Linked DNA regions of Arabidopsis thaliana. The protein of the gene in region 2 interacts with the protein of the main gene of each other region in a pairwise test. Each region holds a gene or a part of one and is shown on either strand. Other genes may lie near its edges.

Region 1 (4,514 bases), about 18 Mb from region 2:
CATGATTCTTTTAATTACAGTGGTTCGTAACATAATCTGAACCCGAGGACACACACACGATGATGCATTCGACGGTGCAGCATGGGGGAAACAAGAGTGGCAAGTCAAATGTATGGGCTAATACTAACTTGGCAAAGACAGTGGCAGCTGTAGATGAGTTCAAATTTGGATTCCCATCAGGCGGGTTAACAACTGTGTCAAACAAATGGTGGGGAAGGGCAGAGAAAGGCGGACGAGAAGATGGTGGAGGAGAGAACACTGAAAATGGACATGTAGCAGCTTGTGATGAGACGCAAAATTCTTTGGTAGCTATTAGGAAAAGAATAGCGGAAGAAGGAAGAGAAGCGGTTGAACTTGGTCTGCATCAAGGATTTGGTTCAAAAAGACCAGGCAAGAGAGATCAAGCTTTGCTGTTTCAGATCTTCAACTCTGCAATGCCAAAGGATTGGGTTACCCCTGATTCTTCCTAAGTTCGTTTGTAGATTTAGAACAGAGCTCCCTCTTAAAAATTATGCTCTGTTATATGTAATCCGCAAGTTCATTAACTCCTGCAACTATGTTATTATGTCTCTAAGTGAACTGGAAATACAACAGGAAGACTTGCGATCTTACGAGTCTACAAAATCATTTCTGTTAATTGCAAAAACATGGGAACAAATAATATAGAGACATAAGAACTGTCCTAGAGCCTTTGGAGGAAAATTAACAAAAACAGAGGTGACGCCGAAAGAGGGATTTTTGCTGGTATACGTCTCAGAAATTGGAACCAAACGTACATGCCTTTGGATGATCTAGGCTTTTCGTGCTCTACTGTGCGAGAAACAAGACATGTTTTCATGTCAAATGCCTGCAATGCGAGGATACAAGAAATTATCATGAAAGAGCTTCAATTGCTTCTCAAAAGTTTCGAACAATCAGCATAATAAGATTCAGATAGCAAGCAGCAGCAGTAAGTCCATCAGGCAAACTAAAGACTTCTCTAACTCCAATCCAATCACCTTCTGGGGAGGCTTAATATCTACCCTAACTAAATGCACAAGAGAAGGTAGGATAATGTTTAAGTAAATGATGGACTTATCCTTTTGTGAAAACATATACTACGAATCATGGGAAACCGTGAAACTTGTTTCAGAGATGAAGATGAGGCCAAACAGCATATTGTATCATAACACTCATCACTTAGAAACCCGCTAATGAAACCATAAGACCAAAGTAGCAAAAAGAACTAGATAAGTACCAAAAATTGTTACAACAATAGCAAAATTAGTGTCAAGGAAACCTTAACAAGCTTAAGGTGTGCGCAAAGAGCATCATCAAGTGTTTTACCTCTGGAAAAGCTCCGAAAAGTAGCGAGTACCGTTGTATAAAACGAACCACATCAAAACAACCACCAAAGAATCTGAAAAGAGTTGAGGAAAGGCAAAGAAGATGCAAGCAAAGATCTTAAGTCCTTGTAAACTAGCAAAAAATTATCTCAATTGACAGTATATTATTCAGTAGAGACTATAATCCAAACTCTGAAGTTGAAGACAAAATTTTAAGAAAGTAGCTTTTTAAAAACAAAATTCTAAAATTGAACAGACACAATGCTTAAGACGACAACACAAGAGAACAGAACACAATGCCACCATATATCACCAAAGATGTAAAAATCAAAACTTGCATCTTTCTAATGAAAGGGTAAATCGAAATTGGAGCACAGATAAACCAAAATCGATGGAGAGAACGAATGAAGCATGGAGGGATAGAGTGAGGAAAAAAGGATACTGAAGAGGTATCGTTCCCACCAATCAAGCATGTAGAGCCCGAATGTGACATTATAAAGGTAGATTTTGCGTTGAACCCAGTTCATATCTTCTGATCGATTCCTACAGTAAGAAGCGGGAGATTACAAATCTGAAATTGACAAAAACCTGATCCAAGATTCAAAATTTACCCGGTAAATCTCTGACAGAGAACTTGACAAAGATATACTAAACAGGATTACAAAGCGCCTGGAGATTCTCGATCTAGGGAACTGTATCTGACTCCAGATTTTGATTGAAGTGTCGTCGTCAAATACAGAAGAGAAATCAAATTTTGACGGAGACGTCAAAGTTGGAAAACTCTGTCACGGTAAATACTAATCTCATCCTCAATTCATTTTCCCACCCCGGTTTAGTCTTAATTACCGGTTTAGATGAACCAGGTATTCAAAATCGGTTTGTAGAACTAACCGGATAACGGAGACTGCAATGTCACAGAACGTGTGCGCTTTGTAAGAAGACCAAACATGGTGACGACGACCATCGGCGGAGTTCCGGTGGTGATTGCTCAGTCTCGGAGGATTCCAACGAGCCTGAGATGCTTCTCTGCCACCGCAAATTCTGACCTTCTTCGCTCCCAGCTTGATCGGCTTCACGCGGAGGCAGAGTCCACTCGTGCCAAAGGTGGAATCTTTATTCGCTAATCTTCGTTTTAATGTGTGATTTCAAAGTCGTAGACTTTGGAAAGATGAGGTGCTGGTTTCAGCATGGTTTTACTGCTTGTGAATCCAGTGATTGATGATGTCAATTTGATTTATTTTTGGTCTTTGTTGTTGTTGGTCCAGCAAACAGTAATAGGTTGAGACTTTTGAGATTATCTGAGGCTGCAGAGAATCTACGGGAACAAGCAGCTGTCAATGTTCGAACAGGGAAAGAGAATGATGCCAGAGATCTACTTCTTCAGAAGAAAAAAGTTATGCAAGCTTTGGACAAGGCTAAAGCTCGTATCGAGTTGCTCGATACGCTTTCTTCCAAACTTAACGAGGTACAAACAAACAATACTCTTACTTGTTAAGAAATGTTATTGTTTTGGTTGTTTGTTTGTTTTCAATTGCCCCAGAAATCTATCTAACTATGTCTTGAAAGCTTGGTTTGGTTTCAGGCAATATCTGTCAAGGAAACACAGCTGATAGGCAATATATCTTTGGATCTCGAAGAGGATGGAGAGAATACTTCAGGTGGTATCCACATTGTATCGCCAAAGCCCGAATCTACTGAAGACGGGGTCGAAAATGACCACACTCACTTGGATTCTGAGGGAATTCAACTTATTGAAAGGAATGTTGAGGATTACCAAGAACTTCTTGATACCAATAATAATGTACTAGAAGATGTTTCAATAGGTAGCATCCTGAAAGAAGTGTCTTCTTATGAATCTTTCTTGGAAAATTTAGACCAGAAACTTAGCAGAATCGAAGCTGAACTAGTTACTGTTGTAAATGTTGCATCCTTGGTGCTTAATCATGAAGATAAACCCAAGAATCTTAAGGTTCAGCAGACTGCAGAAATTCTTGAAGAGATTCGTCGTGTGAGGGAAAGGTAATGCATTCAAAGCATCACTAAGTTTTACTTCTAACACTGCAGAATTACTCAGTCCATTAAGTTTTGTTTTGCTTGTGTAGAATCGCAAATATCATTTGCAAAGAGGCAAACATCAGTTAGTGTGCTTCAAGCATTACTTACCAGCGCAGTGAACTAAAGAAAGGAAGCCACTCTTGGTATGAAAAGTTAATCTAGCAATTTTCCTTTCTTTAATCATTCTGTTTAGACAGGTATAGTCATTTTCTTGGTGTGAATATTAATATCTTCTAAGGTGATACATTAAATTTTGATGTGATATGAAGTTAATATGGTCGTTCACGTTAATGTTGTTGTGATATGGGATCATGATTATTAATGTGATATCAATACTTAGGAGCATCATTAAGTAAATAATAAGTGAATAACATACTATTAGATTAGATGTATACAATTAATATTGATTTCAACTAACTCTGAAATCATTTCATTTGTTCTAGGAATAAAATTAATGGCACTAAAGCGACAGGTTGAGATTATGGACTATACAAATCCAGAAACAAAATCATATAAAGCAAACATTTTCAATACATATCAATGGTCCCGAGTGATAAGAAATAGAAATGATGCCAATGAATCAACCATATAGAATTAAACATCTAAGTCCTGAAATAACAATAATATTTAGCTTTTCAAACAAACAAAAAAACTAATGAAAATTCGGAATAGTTTATCTGACAATGCCTTCATTTCCAGCAAGAACCAAGTACTTATCCCTCCTTGTGAGATTAGTGCATTCAAATCCCAAAACCCTAGCAAGTTCTCCCTGTATGAAATTCGCAACTTCAAAGCTTGACTTGCCTCCTGCACAAGTCATCTCTTTTGGCAACTTCTTTAAAATCTCAAGACAATAAACCGGCCTAGGGTTCATGAGGAAGAAGATAGGGTCTAAACACTTGAGCCCGCTCGCAGTTGTCCCATAGAACATGCTCACTCGAGCATCTACAGCCACGGGAACAATGTCTTCAGTTAACTCAGCGAACAAAGGACTGAACCTTAGTAGATAAGGCTCTCTACATGTGGTTCCCTCCGGACAAACCACTAGATCTCCTTTGCTTAATAGTCTCTGCATTGCCTCACCGTCTTTCTTCCTATCTCTTTTAAGGCTAACCGTCTTGAGAGGTGCTATGA
Region 2 (4,994 bases):
TTTTTTTTAATACAAGATTTTAGAGTAAAACTCGTAATCCTCTCAGACACGAAACGACAACATGTAATATTAGTTTCGTTCCAAAAATATCGAACTGACGATTTTTAAGCTTCGGCTAAGAGTTTTACTAGTTCAGCAATGATACTTAGTGGAATAGGCCACAATTCATATGTTATAATTCAATGTTTCATCATTTAATGTTTTAGAATCGAACTTAGTTTGGTGTTAGTTAAAATCTTTTCGACCCTCGTAATTAAGAAATAAGGAAAACATAGGTGAAAAGATAGAAGGCAATGTAACGCAAACGAGTCTGTCTGATCGGTCCAATTGTTGGTCATTCGTCCATATATAGCTGTCTGTTGAAAATTGGAACATTAATGTTGTCAAAATTCTAAGATTGCAGGTTGCATTTATAGACTCCATTTCCCTCCACAATCGACAGGTCACAGGCCTTTACGCCACATATAACCCCAAGATACAATGCATATTTAAAAGTTCTTGTGAACTGAAGAAAAGTTTCGACGGGTTGAGATACGAGACATTGAATTTTGGAGAAGAAAACAAAAGCTAGGGAAAAAGTTTGTGGTCCGCAAAACATTGAAATGCAATAAGAAAACTGAGTTAAAAATTAGAGTAGGAGCCGTGTTGATTCCCTAGGAAAGCTTCAAGTATAGGAGATTGCATGAAACGTTTTGATAACGGAAATGTTAAGCCTAATAAAAGGAAGTCACCTCCTTATGGGGAGTTTATTACGGCCTATACATCGCATGTAGAAAACGAGTTTCTCGGTTAGAACTTAAAATGGATTTGGAAGTAGTGGTTGGTTTTCTGAAGATAAGGGTTAGTGAAACTTATCCGCTGTCTTTCCTGTTACGCTTGTGACATGGCTTTATATCAAAGGATTAGAATATCAAAATTTCACATATTTACCGGGAGGATAATCGTTTTGCGGATGAATTAGCTAACCATGCTTTTTCTTTAAATTTAGTTTTTCACTTTTTAGATACTATTCCAAGATGTTCTCTTTTGTCGGATGATGCCCGTTGTTTGGCAATTCGATGGCATGTTGTTGCTTGTTAAGTTTTTGTATGTTGCTATGAATAAATTTGGGGAGGCATTATCTCCCCGTCCCCTACCAATTTCTTTTTTTTTCTTCTATCCCATATATATATATATATATATATAAATTTCGAAAACTCTTTGCTTTCATTTTCTTAAAAAATCACGTAAACATAATTTTAGAAATAATTAAATAACAACTTATAATATTTTTTTTTCTTCCCATATATATAAACTCCGAAAACATATAGTCGTATATTATTTCTTAAAAAATACTTTCAATTGACTTTTTCCTTTTGTATTAAAATCTATTCTCCCACATATTTGGTAGTTATTTAAAATTGTAGTTCATACAATCACAGTCTTTACCAATTAATTTAAAAATCATACAGTCAAATTCCTTACATCAAAAATCCTTATAACCTTTAACTATGCGAACAACAAAGATTACCAAACTTCCAAACATTGATCTACAGATTGACTAATTTTTATGCAATTTAAATTACTACCATTTTTCCATCTATATAAACCCAATCTTGCACCCACAAAAAAAAAAAAAAAAAGAGAAACACATACTTAATCTAAATTTCTCCTTTCTTTATAGTCAATTCATATTTTTGTTTTCTTCCAAAATGAATCCCAAGAAAACCAAAGGAAAGCAAATGATTAACATCAAAAAAATTGAAAAAGATGAAGACAGATTGGTCACATTATCTAAGCGTCGAAATGGAATCTACAATAAGCAATGAGCTTTCCATTCTCTGTGGTGCTGAAGTTGCGTTTCTCGGATACTCTTGCTCAGGAAAACCATACACATTCGGCAGTCCGTCTTTTCAAGCCGTGGCAGAGCGATTTCTCAATCGTGAGGCCTCATCATCGTTGCAACGATCGGTCATGAATGCTCACCAACAAGCGAAGATTCAAGAGCTTTGCAAAGTATACAATAGAATGGTGGAGGAGGCAAAGACGGAAGAAGCCAAAGTAAAGAAGGCAGCTGCATTAGCGGAGACAATGCCCGTAGATGAGGATGCGTGGTGGAAAGTGGATCCAAAGGAGGTGGAAGATCACGAAGAGGCGAAGAAGATAATGGAAAAGTGTGAAGGGCTCTATGAGAAACTGTGTAATGAAGCTGCTGCAAGGATCCAAAGAGGAGATGCTGAGAATAATAACAAATGATCCATTAATGATTAAGATTTTAATTAGTAGATCATTACTAATTAAGTATTTTTGAGTCTTAAGAATTATGTTTTTTTTTTTGTCTTTTCTTTTTTATACATTATGAATTGTTATTGTTTTCTACAACATCCAGCAATGGATTAATGAAACTGAAATATTTTATACATAAAAGAAGCCCATTACAGCCATTAGGCCCAATTCGTGATCTATCATCTACTCAATCTCTAACCCTAATATCTCCAATCTTCATCTCCGTCGATCTCCATTGATCTCTAACACTAAAATTCTACTACTCTTCACTTTCTACAGCTTAGGAAGAGTTCTCGACAAGCTGATTCTTCGAGTTCTCGACAAGTTTCAGTGTTTTTGTTTCCGGGTCACAGAGAACAAAGGCAATTTACAATAATGGCAGAGACTAAACAACCACTGATCGGTCTTAAATGGGAACCAAAGCTTCCAGGCTTATCCTTAGACTTGAAAACTGGTTCAACCAGAAGCAAAACAGCTGAGAGTTCTAAGTCAGAGCTTGTTGATGGTCTTTGTCTTCCACCTAATGATCCAAGGAAGATTAACAAGATGATTAGAAAACAACTCAAAGACACTACTGGTTCTAACTGGTAACTCTTCTTTATCTCCTCTACTCGGATTAGTTTGATCCGGCTTGTGATTAAATTGTATTTCTTCAAACTGTGGATAGGTTTGATATGCCTGCTCCAACAATGACTCCTGAGTTGAAAAGAGATCTTCAGTTGCTTAAGGTAATAGATTCTTTTGCTTTTGTTGTTGTTTTAGGTTCCATAGTCCTTACATTATTCTAATTGTATCTTTATTGTAGTTGAGAACTGTAATGGATCCTGCTCTACACTACAAGAAATCTGTGTCACGGTCTAAACTAGCTGAAAAATATTTCCAGGCAAGTTTCAGAACTAGATCAAAGAGAATAACCGTCTCTTTCGGTTTCTGTCTTAACACAAACTTTTGTTGTAAAAAAAAAAACAGATTGGTACAGTAATTGAACCAGCTGAAGAGTTTTATGGGAGATTGACAAAGAAGAATAGAAAAGCAACTCTTGCTGATGAGTTGGTTTCAGATCCTAAAACTGCTCTCTACAGGTTAGTTACTACCATTGTCTATTAAGAAACAATGTATAGGAAATGCTTAAATTCTGTAAGTATTATTGATAGATGTAAGTAAAATAAGTGTGTGGTTTATCTATTCTATCAAGAATTTGTATTTTTGAGAATTTGTATTCATATAGCACATGTGCAATCTTTGTTAAGTGAATGTTTTTGTGTTGATTATGGTTTTACAGGAAGCGTAAAGTTAGGGAGATTGAGGAGAAGAGTAGAGCTGTTACGAATAAGAAATGGAATAAAAAGGGAAACCAGTCTAAGAACACAAAGCCAAGAAGGAACTGAATTATTTTTGTTAAGAGTATGATCATAGTTTTGGGACACATTTTTTCTATTTTTAATAGAATATGGTCATAGTATTGGATACACTTTCTTGCGGTGATATAGGTTGTAATGACTCTTGTTGTTTATGGCCTTTGTTTAAAGGATTTTGTGTTATTGGTTACACCTTTGATAACTGTAATAACTCTTGTTGTTTATGGTGCTTATGTTATGTATATCCAAAACCAAACCTTGTCTAGAGCTACTAGGTGGGAAACTTGTTTCAGCAAGACTGAAATTGAGTCCTAGTTTACACCTTTTGCAGAATTGCAGGGTCCAACCACGAGAGCATCGAGTTTTATACTTTCAGGTAGCACTCATAGTACCTCCCTGTTTGAGTCATCTGGCACTGACCATGCCACACATATTTATGTCAGCACAGCAAAACTTTGGTATTCAGCAAGATCTAAATTATGTGACTTTCTTCTTTTGAATCATAGTTGTAATGAGGAGGCTAAGAGTATTGCTGCAGCTGCTTCGAGCAGGGGAAAGATTGAGGTCAGTTGTTTGAATTTTTGTTTTCGCTCGGCGTTGTTCTATGATATTATATCAGCTCTTTGGAATTAAGAAGATGAATTGTGTGTGTAGGATTTAAATCTATGTCAAGTTGAACTGTTTAAGCTTGCTTTTTTTTTTTTTTTGAATCTGTGTATTGGCTCGGTGTTGTTAGAATCTAATTTCTTACTAAGTATCTCGACAAAGTCAGTTTCTTGGAGAGTGCTGATTACAGGCAGTTTGAGAAAGAGAGAGACGCTAGTTTGAGAAGACACGATGAGACCGACTCCTCTAACGTTCTTCTACATCTGCTGTAAGTAATCTTGTTTTCTGTTCTGTTAGAGAAGTCTTCTTTAGTAGACTTTGTAGCATTTTCTCAAGTGATTTGGTCACATTCTTTGGCAGTGTCTAAACCGAGTCCCCGTTTTCTTGATTGATTCGGATTTATTTCTTATGTCTCTCTCGAGAGAGAGTTCAAAACTGAGACCATCCTCTCTGAAGGCCATGGCCAATGAAATGGGCTTGCAATGCAACGTAAGCCCAACTTGAATCCCACGATTCTAATTCGAGCCGATATCTGAAACAACAATTCATTTGTGACTGCAATCTACACCAATCTACACCTTGTTCTTGTAAATCGTTTGTTTTCTTAGTTTCTACCTAATGAAGCTCATTTGGTCTCTATACAACATAAATTTCTTCTTTTGGTTTTGAAATCTAAAACCTGAAGTAAAGCTTGATTGATTTGGTTTATGGATTGCAGGGGAAAAAGTGGCTCTCTCTTTAACATTTACAAAAAAAAAAAAAAGT
Region 3 (5,220 bases), on a different chromosome or scaffold from region 2:
ATCTAATTTTATAAAATGTTTGTGTCATTGAAACCAAAACAAAAAAAGGAGAATAGGTCCCACCGAGACTTGAACTCGGGTTACTGGATTCAGAGTCCAATGTCCTGACCACTAGACCATGGGACCATTCTATTCACGCTTTAATATTTGTTATTTTTATTGTGTTAGTTTCTAGTGTGTAATAAAAAAGAGAAATAAAATGATACAAGCTAAATGCTAGGAAAAATGTGGAAACACTAGTTTGGACAATGAGAAGTTTGAATTTTGATTTCAGAAAAGAAAACTAAATTAATTTTAGTGCAGACTATTCCGATTAGGTGTAAATGTGGTCTACATTTGTGATATATTATGAAGACGTAGAGAAGAGTTAGAAATTTTTGTCATCTTCTTTTGTTTCCTATGTTTGTTTTGTAATGCTAATGTTAAAACCGATTTGCTAGTTCAAAATGTCCGTATCTACCCGTATTGAATGTATGTAATTACCCATAGTATGTATTGTATATTGTAAACGATATTTTTTTAGTTTAGCTTATTTGACAAAAAAGAACGTCGTTTTTAAAGTAGAGTTTAGATTGCTGCTGCAAGAGTAGTTAGTATATTGAATAAAAGTATAGTGATATGACATTTTTGTCAAATTCTCCATGTGATATGTGAGTAGTAGTCAAAGACTCAAAGGAATAAAAGAGAAACAGACTAGAACTCTTTTTAATCTGAACCGTTCATCTATGTTGTATTTTTCTTCTATCATCGTGGCACTTCTCTAGTCTTCACACATTTTAAAATTCTTTTTTACTCGTATTAATTTATTTTTAAATTAGTAATATGTTAAATTATTTGTAATGGAGTTAAAAGAATCTGGAGGATGGATTTGATTTGACTGGCAGAGAAGGCATCTATCTCTTTGGGATGTTCCATAAGTATTTACTATTATTTGTACTCAGCATGTGCCTGTCTTTCATAATTCATATGCCAATCACAAAACTTGTGTTCAAATTAGTATAGAGACAATCATTGGTTTTGAGTTGTGAATTATGATTGGATAGTAGTAATCGTTAAGGCATCTAGGAAATTTTATGTCTGATTTACATTCAAAAAATCCTATATGTTTTAGAGCAGCAATATTTTTTTTTATGAATCCAAAAATCTAAAACCATGTATTCATTGTGTAACTATGATTGTTTAATGAGAGATTTTTAGCAATGATTGAACATCTACTATATATATTAGTGTCAAAATTGTCAAAGTTTCGATGTGCGACAATTCCAATAACTTATAACAACTGTCTGTAAAATTTTAGTGTATTGATCTTAATACCTACCTCTCTAGACAAAAGCCATAAGTTTATAAACACAATCCTAAAACATAAAATGAAGAACTATTCAATCCTAAACGAAAATGATTTATAATAATTATATTTCTGTTTGTGTTTTTGGATTGTGTATAACAAATATTCGCATTTAAACAAAAATACTATATATTATCTTTCTAAACACTATTCAATCATAATTGAACAATCTGCATGATATAAATCGTCAAAATCAATAAAAACTAATCAATTTTGCATTAAAAATAAAAAAACATCATCTAATTCAATACAATTTTTTTTCCTAAAACATAAGAAAAAAGGAGTATACTTTCTTGGCTCATGTATCTTGCCTTGTCTATGCATATTCATTTATTTCAAAATATGTCACCCATATTCATGTTTGTTGAAAACAATGCTACTTTATAGTAGTACGTAGTACGTTGTCTTTAACTCTTTTGACGTTCATATTATTTCCCAAAAAAAAAATACTAATCAAAAACGAAATGAGTCGGGTCTTAATCCGATCAAACGAGGTTAAATTGTGACCTAAACCCGTGTTCTGTTCGACTTTTGGCAAGTTCTAGAAAACACATGTTAGCTTTTGACGTTAGCATAGAGGTTAATGCTAGTTTTGATAATCTAGTACGTTGTCTTTATTTGATGCTCTTCTTTTTTTCTTCTCCAGAAAAGCCTACAAAAACTTAATAGAATCCTGTCTAATCCGATCAAACCAGGTTAACTTGTGGTCTAAAGATTCTAAACTCTTTAGAAAGCACTAATTTGGAAACATGGATTCCATGATATCTTTTTGCAAGTCATTGTTGCATTAATGAGTTAGCGGCAACAATATTTGTACTCATTGATTATGAAATTATTTTTGTTAAAATTAATGACGAAATTGGACAACATCGGTTCATGAACCCTCCAAAGAAAATTTACATTGCCCAAATAGACAACGCACAAACACAAAAACACCACACTGTCTCCATCTTTCTTTCCTCTTCTTCAACATCTCTCTTCTCCCAAGAAAATAAAACACAATTTCCCAGATTCAAAACTTCTTTTTCACAAATCACAACGTCTTCAAAGGGATCAAGAATCTTATTACTCTTCTCTTCTTTTGCTTTTAAGAAGAAGTAAAAACATCATCTTAACTTTCACTTTTTGTATTATCTTTCTCTTTCACTCACTTTAAAGTCTATTTAGAGATTCAAAAACAAAATCTTCCAGAAACTGCTTCTGATCTTAGAAGATGACTCACTTCTCCTAAAAAGCACCAATTTCAATCCTATTTTTTTCTCTTGTTTTCCGGCAAGATTTGGTAAAATTTTGTGTTCTGATTTGTTGTTTTGAATATCAACTATGGAACAACGGAAGAAAGGTTGTAAGATCAGGAAGAGAGGTGGTTCTTCCTCTTCTTCTTCTTCACTTGCTCGTCGAAACCGCTTCAAACGTGCAATTTTCGCCGGGAAAAGAGCCGCTCAAGACGACGGTGGCTCAGGAACTCCTGTTAAGTCCATCACCGCCGCTAAAACTCCAGTTCTGTTATCGTTTTCGCCGGAAAATCTTCCTATAGATCATCATCAATTGCAGAAAAGCTGCGTGTCGGCGAGAAAGCTAGCTGCGACGCTGTGGGAAATCAACGACGACGCAGACCCTCCGGTAAATTCTGATAAAGATTGCTTGAGAAGCAAGAAACCATCGAGATACAGAGCGAAGAAATCAACAGAGTTCTCTTCCATTGATTTCCCGCCACGATCATCCGATCCGATTTCTCGTCTAAGCTCAGAGGTTAGGGTTTGCTTCAGTTTCAAGTTTCCTCTGTGTTTTTTTTCTTTCTGAAATTCTAAGTCTGAAAAATCAAAATTGCACAGAGAATCGATCTCTGTGACGATATGATTCGTAGAAGATCAACAAATCCTCAGAAATTAAACCCAATTGAATACAAAATCATTGGCGCAAACTCGGTATGATTTGCAATCTTACCCTAAAAACACTTTTCTTGCGGAAGAAGAAAGGTCTGATTCTTAATTATATTACAGGTGAAAACTCGTTTCAAGAATGTCAGTGACGGATTAACAACGTCTAAAGAACTGGTAAAGGTATTAAAAAGGATCGGTGAGCTCGGAGATGATCACAAGACAGCAAGCAATCGTTTGATCTCTGCTTTGTTATGTGAACTAGACAGAGCAAGATCTTCACTAAAGCATCTAATGAGTGAATTAGATGAAGAGGAAGAGGAGAAGCGGAGGTTGATAGAGAGTCTACAAGAAGAGGCGATGGTTGAGAGAAAACTCCGGCGAAGAACAGAGAAGATGAATAGAAGATTAGGGAGAGAGCTCACGGAGGCTAAAGAAACAGAGAGGAAGATGAAGGAGGAGATGAAAAGAGAGAAGAGAGCTAAAGATGTTCTTGAAGAGGTTTGTGATGAGCTAACTAAAGGAATCGGAGATGATAAGAAGGAGATGGAGAAAGAGAGAGAGATGATGCATATAGCTGATGTTTTGAGGGAAGAGAGAGTTCAAATGAAGCTTACGGAGGCGAAGTTTGAGTTCGAAGATAAATACGCCGCCGTGGAGCGGCTGAAGAAGGAGCTCCGGCGGGTTTTGGATGGTGAAGAAGGAAAAGGGTCGTCGGAGATTCGTAGGATTTTGGAGGTGATTGATGGTTCTGGTTCTGATGATGATGAGGAGAGTGATCTTAAGTCCATTGAGTTGAACATGGAGAGTGGTAGTAAATGGGGTTATGTTGATAGCCTGAAAGATCGTCGGAGATTTGATGGCTCCGGCGGCGATGATGATGATGATGATCCGGTGGAGAAGAGATCAGTGATTGTTGAGAATGGTGAGAGAGATGAGTCTTTGAAGACTTTGAGAGATTACATTGTTTCAAATGTTAGATGTATTGGTCCTTCATCGTCAGAGCAGTGGAATCATCGGAATTTACCAAGCTCTGAGTTTGTGTAATCACCACCGCTAGCGCCGGCGAGGAAGAAAAAGAAATCATTTTTTTTTATAGTATATAATATTTCAGTATTTGTAATTTATTCAATTTAATTTGAAATACAAAATCAATTACGGAATATTTTTTGCCGGTATATCACATTTTTTCGTCTACAATGGTTTAACCTCAATTTACTACACATATCCAATCAAATCATTATTTGCATTTTCTATCAAAATATTCCGTTTTTATGATCGAAGTTTCAAGTTTGTAATCAAGTGATTTGTCAGAATTTGAAGTCTATTACGGAACTTAAGTGCTTATTTTAGAGAACAACAATTCATTACGTACGAGTTTTTATGTTTGTAACTAACTCTAATTAGACCATAATGTAGATGTAGAGAATAAGGGGAAACCAAACAAATCATGCTTGGAATGAATTGGAGGTGAATTGTACATTGTATATAACTATTAAAGAACTTATTTATTGGTGGCATTGAAGATATACACATGGAAACGTTGATTTGGTGTAAATTAAATCATAATGATTAGTACAACAATGAGAATAAGAACGAACAATAATGAGATATATAATTGATTCAAGAAAGGATTAGTTTAAGATTTTGAATCAAAAACGAAACAAGACATTTTCTCTATTATTGTCTAGACATTTGGACAGCATCGTTCCATCTTCCCATGTGATTTTGTCTCAACTATATATCCGTTACGTTTTACCCTATTTGGGAATATTTGGTAACAATTCAACCAAAAAAGTTACAAAAATTAATAAGATGACATGAACAATAACGAACAATAACGGATCTTCATTTTTCGATCATATATACACATGATTAGGTAATAGGTCAATTCGTGTGAAAGATATATGCATATACCAATCAGCCTTACTCTATGTCCCCCACTCAATATAATATTTTAGCTTAGAACCATATATATATGTACCATTAAACCAA

Evidence for each region. The genes of interacting proteins can lie anywhere in the genome.
Region 1: the proteins of AT1G54770 (region 2) and AT1G06510 interact in a two-hybrid assay, tested with the Arabidopsis thaliana proteins (one large-scale study listed by BioGRID).
Region 3: the proteins of AT1G54770 (region 2) and AT5G22310 interact in a two-hybrid assay, tested with the Arabidopsis thaliana proteins (one large-scale study listed by BioGRID).

The regions. Positions count from the first base shown.
Region 1 is NC_003070.9:1,990,117-1,994,630, forward strand, and holds AT1G06510 (forkhead-associated domain protein), read left to right. Parts: upstream 1-2,112; 5' UTR 2,113-2,272; coding exon 2,273-2,429; intron 2,430-2,590; coding exon 2,591-2,790; intron 2,791-2,907; coding exon 2,908-3,344; intron 3,345-3,427; coding exon 3,428-3,467; 3' UTR 3,468-3,725; downstream 3,726-4,514. Other genes in the region: AT1G06500 (uncharacterized protein), read left to right, coding at 60-470; AT1G06515 (transmembrane protein, putative (DUF3317)), read right to left, coding at 835-847, 1,327-1,399, 1,768-1,852; GPAT1 (glycerol-3-phosphate acyltransferase 1), read right to left, coding at 4,054-4,514.
Region 2 is NC_003070.9:20,432,163-20,437,156, forward strand, and holds AT1G54770 (Fcf2 pre-rRNA processing protein), read left to right. Parts: upstream 1-2,387; 5' UTR 2,388-2,640; coding exon 2,641-2,852; intron 2,853-2,932; coding exon 2,933-2,993; intron 2,994-3,070; coding exon 3,071-3,148; intron 3,149-3,234; coding exon 3,235-3,347; intron 3,348-3,547; coding exon 3,548-3,653; 3' UTR 3,654-3,999; intron 4,000-4,129; 3' UTR 4,130-4,291; downstream 4,292-4,994. Other genes in the region: AGL85 (AGAMOUS-like 85), read left to right, coding at 1,750-2,235; AT1G54773 (uncharacterized protein), read left to right, coding at 4,461-4,497, 4,590-4,621.
Region 3 is NC_003076.8:7,382,794-7,388,013, reverse strand, and holds AT5G22310 (trichohyalin-like protein), read left to right. Parts: upstream 1-2,180; 5' UTR 2,181-2,668; coding exon 2,669-3,097; intron 3,098-3,180; coding exon 3,181-3,273; intron 3,274-3,348; coding exon 3,349-4,272; 3' UTR 4,273-4,431; downstream 4,432-5,220.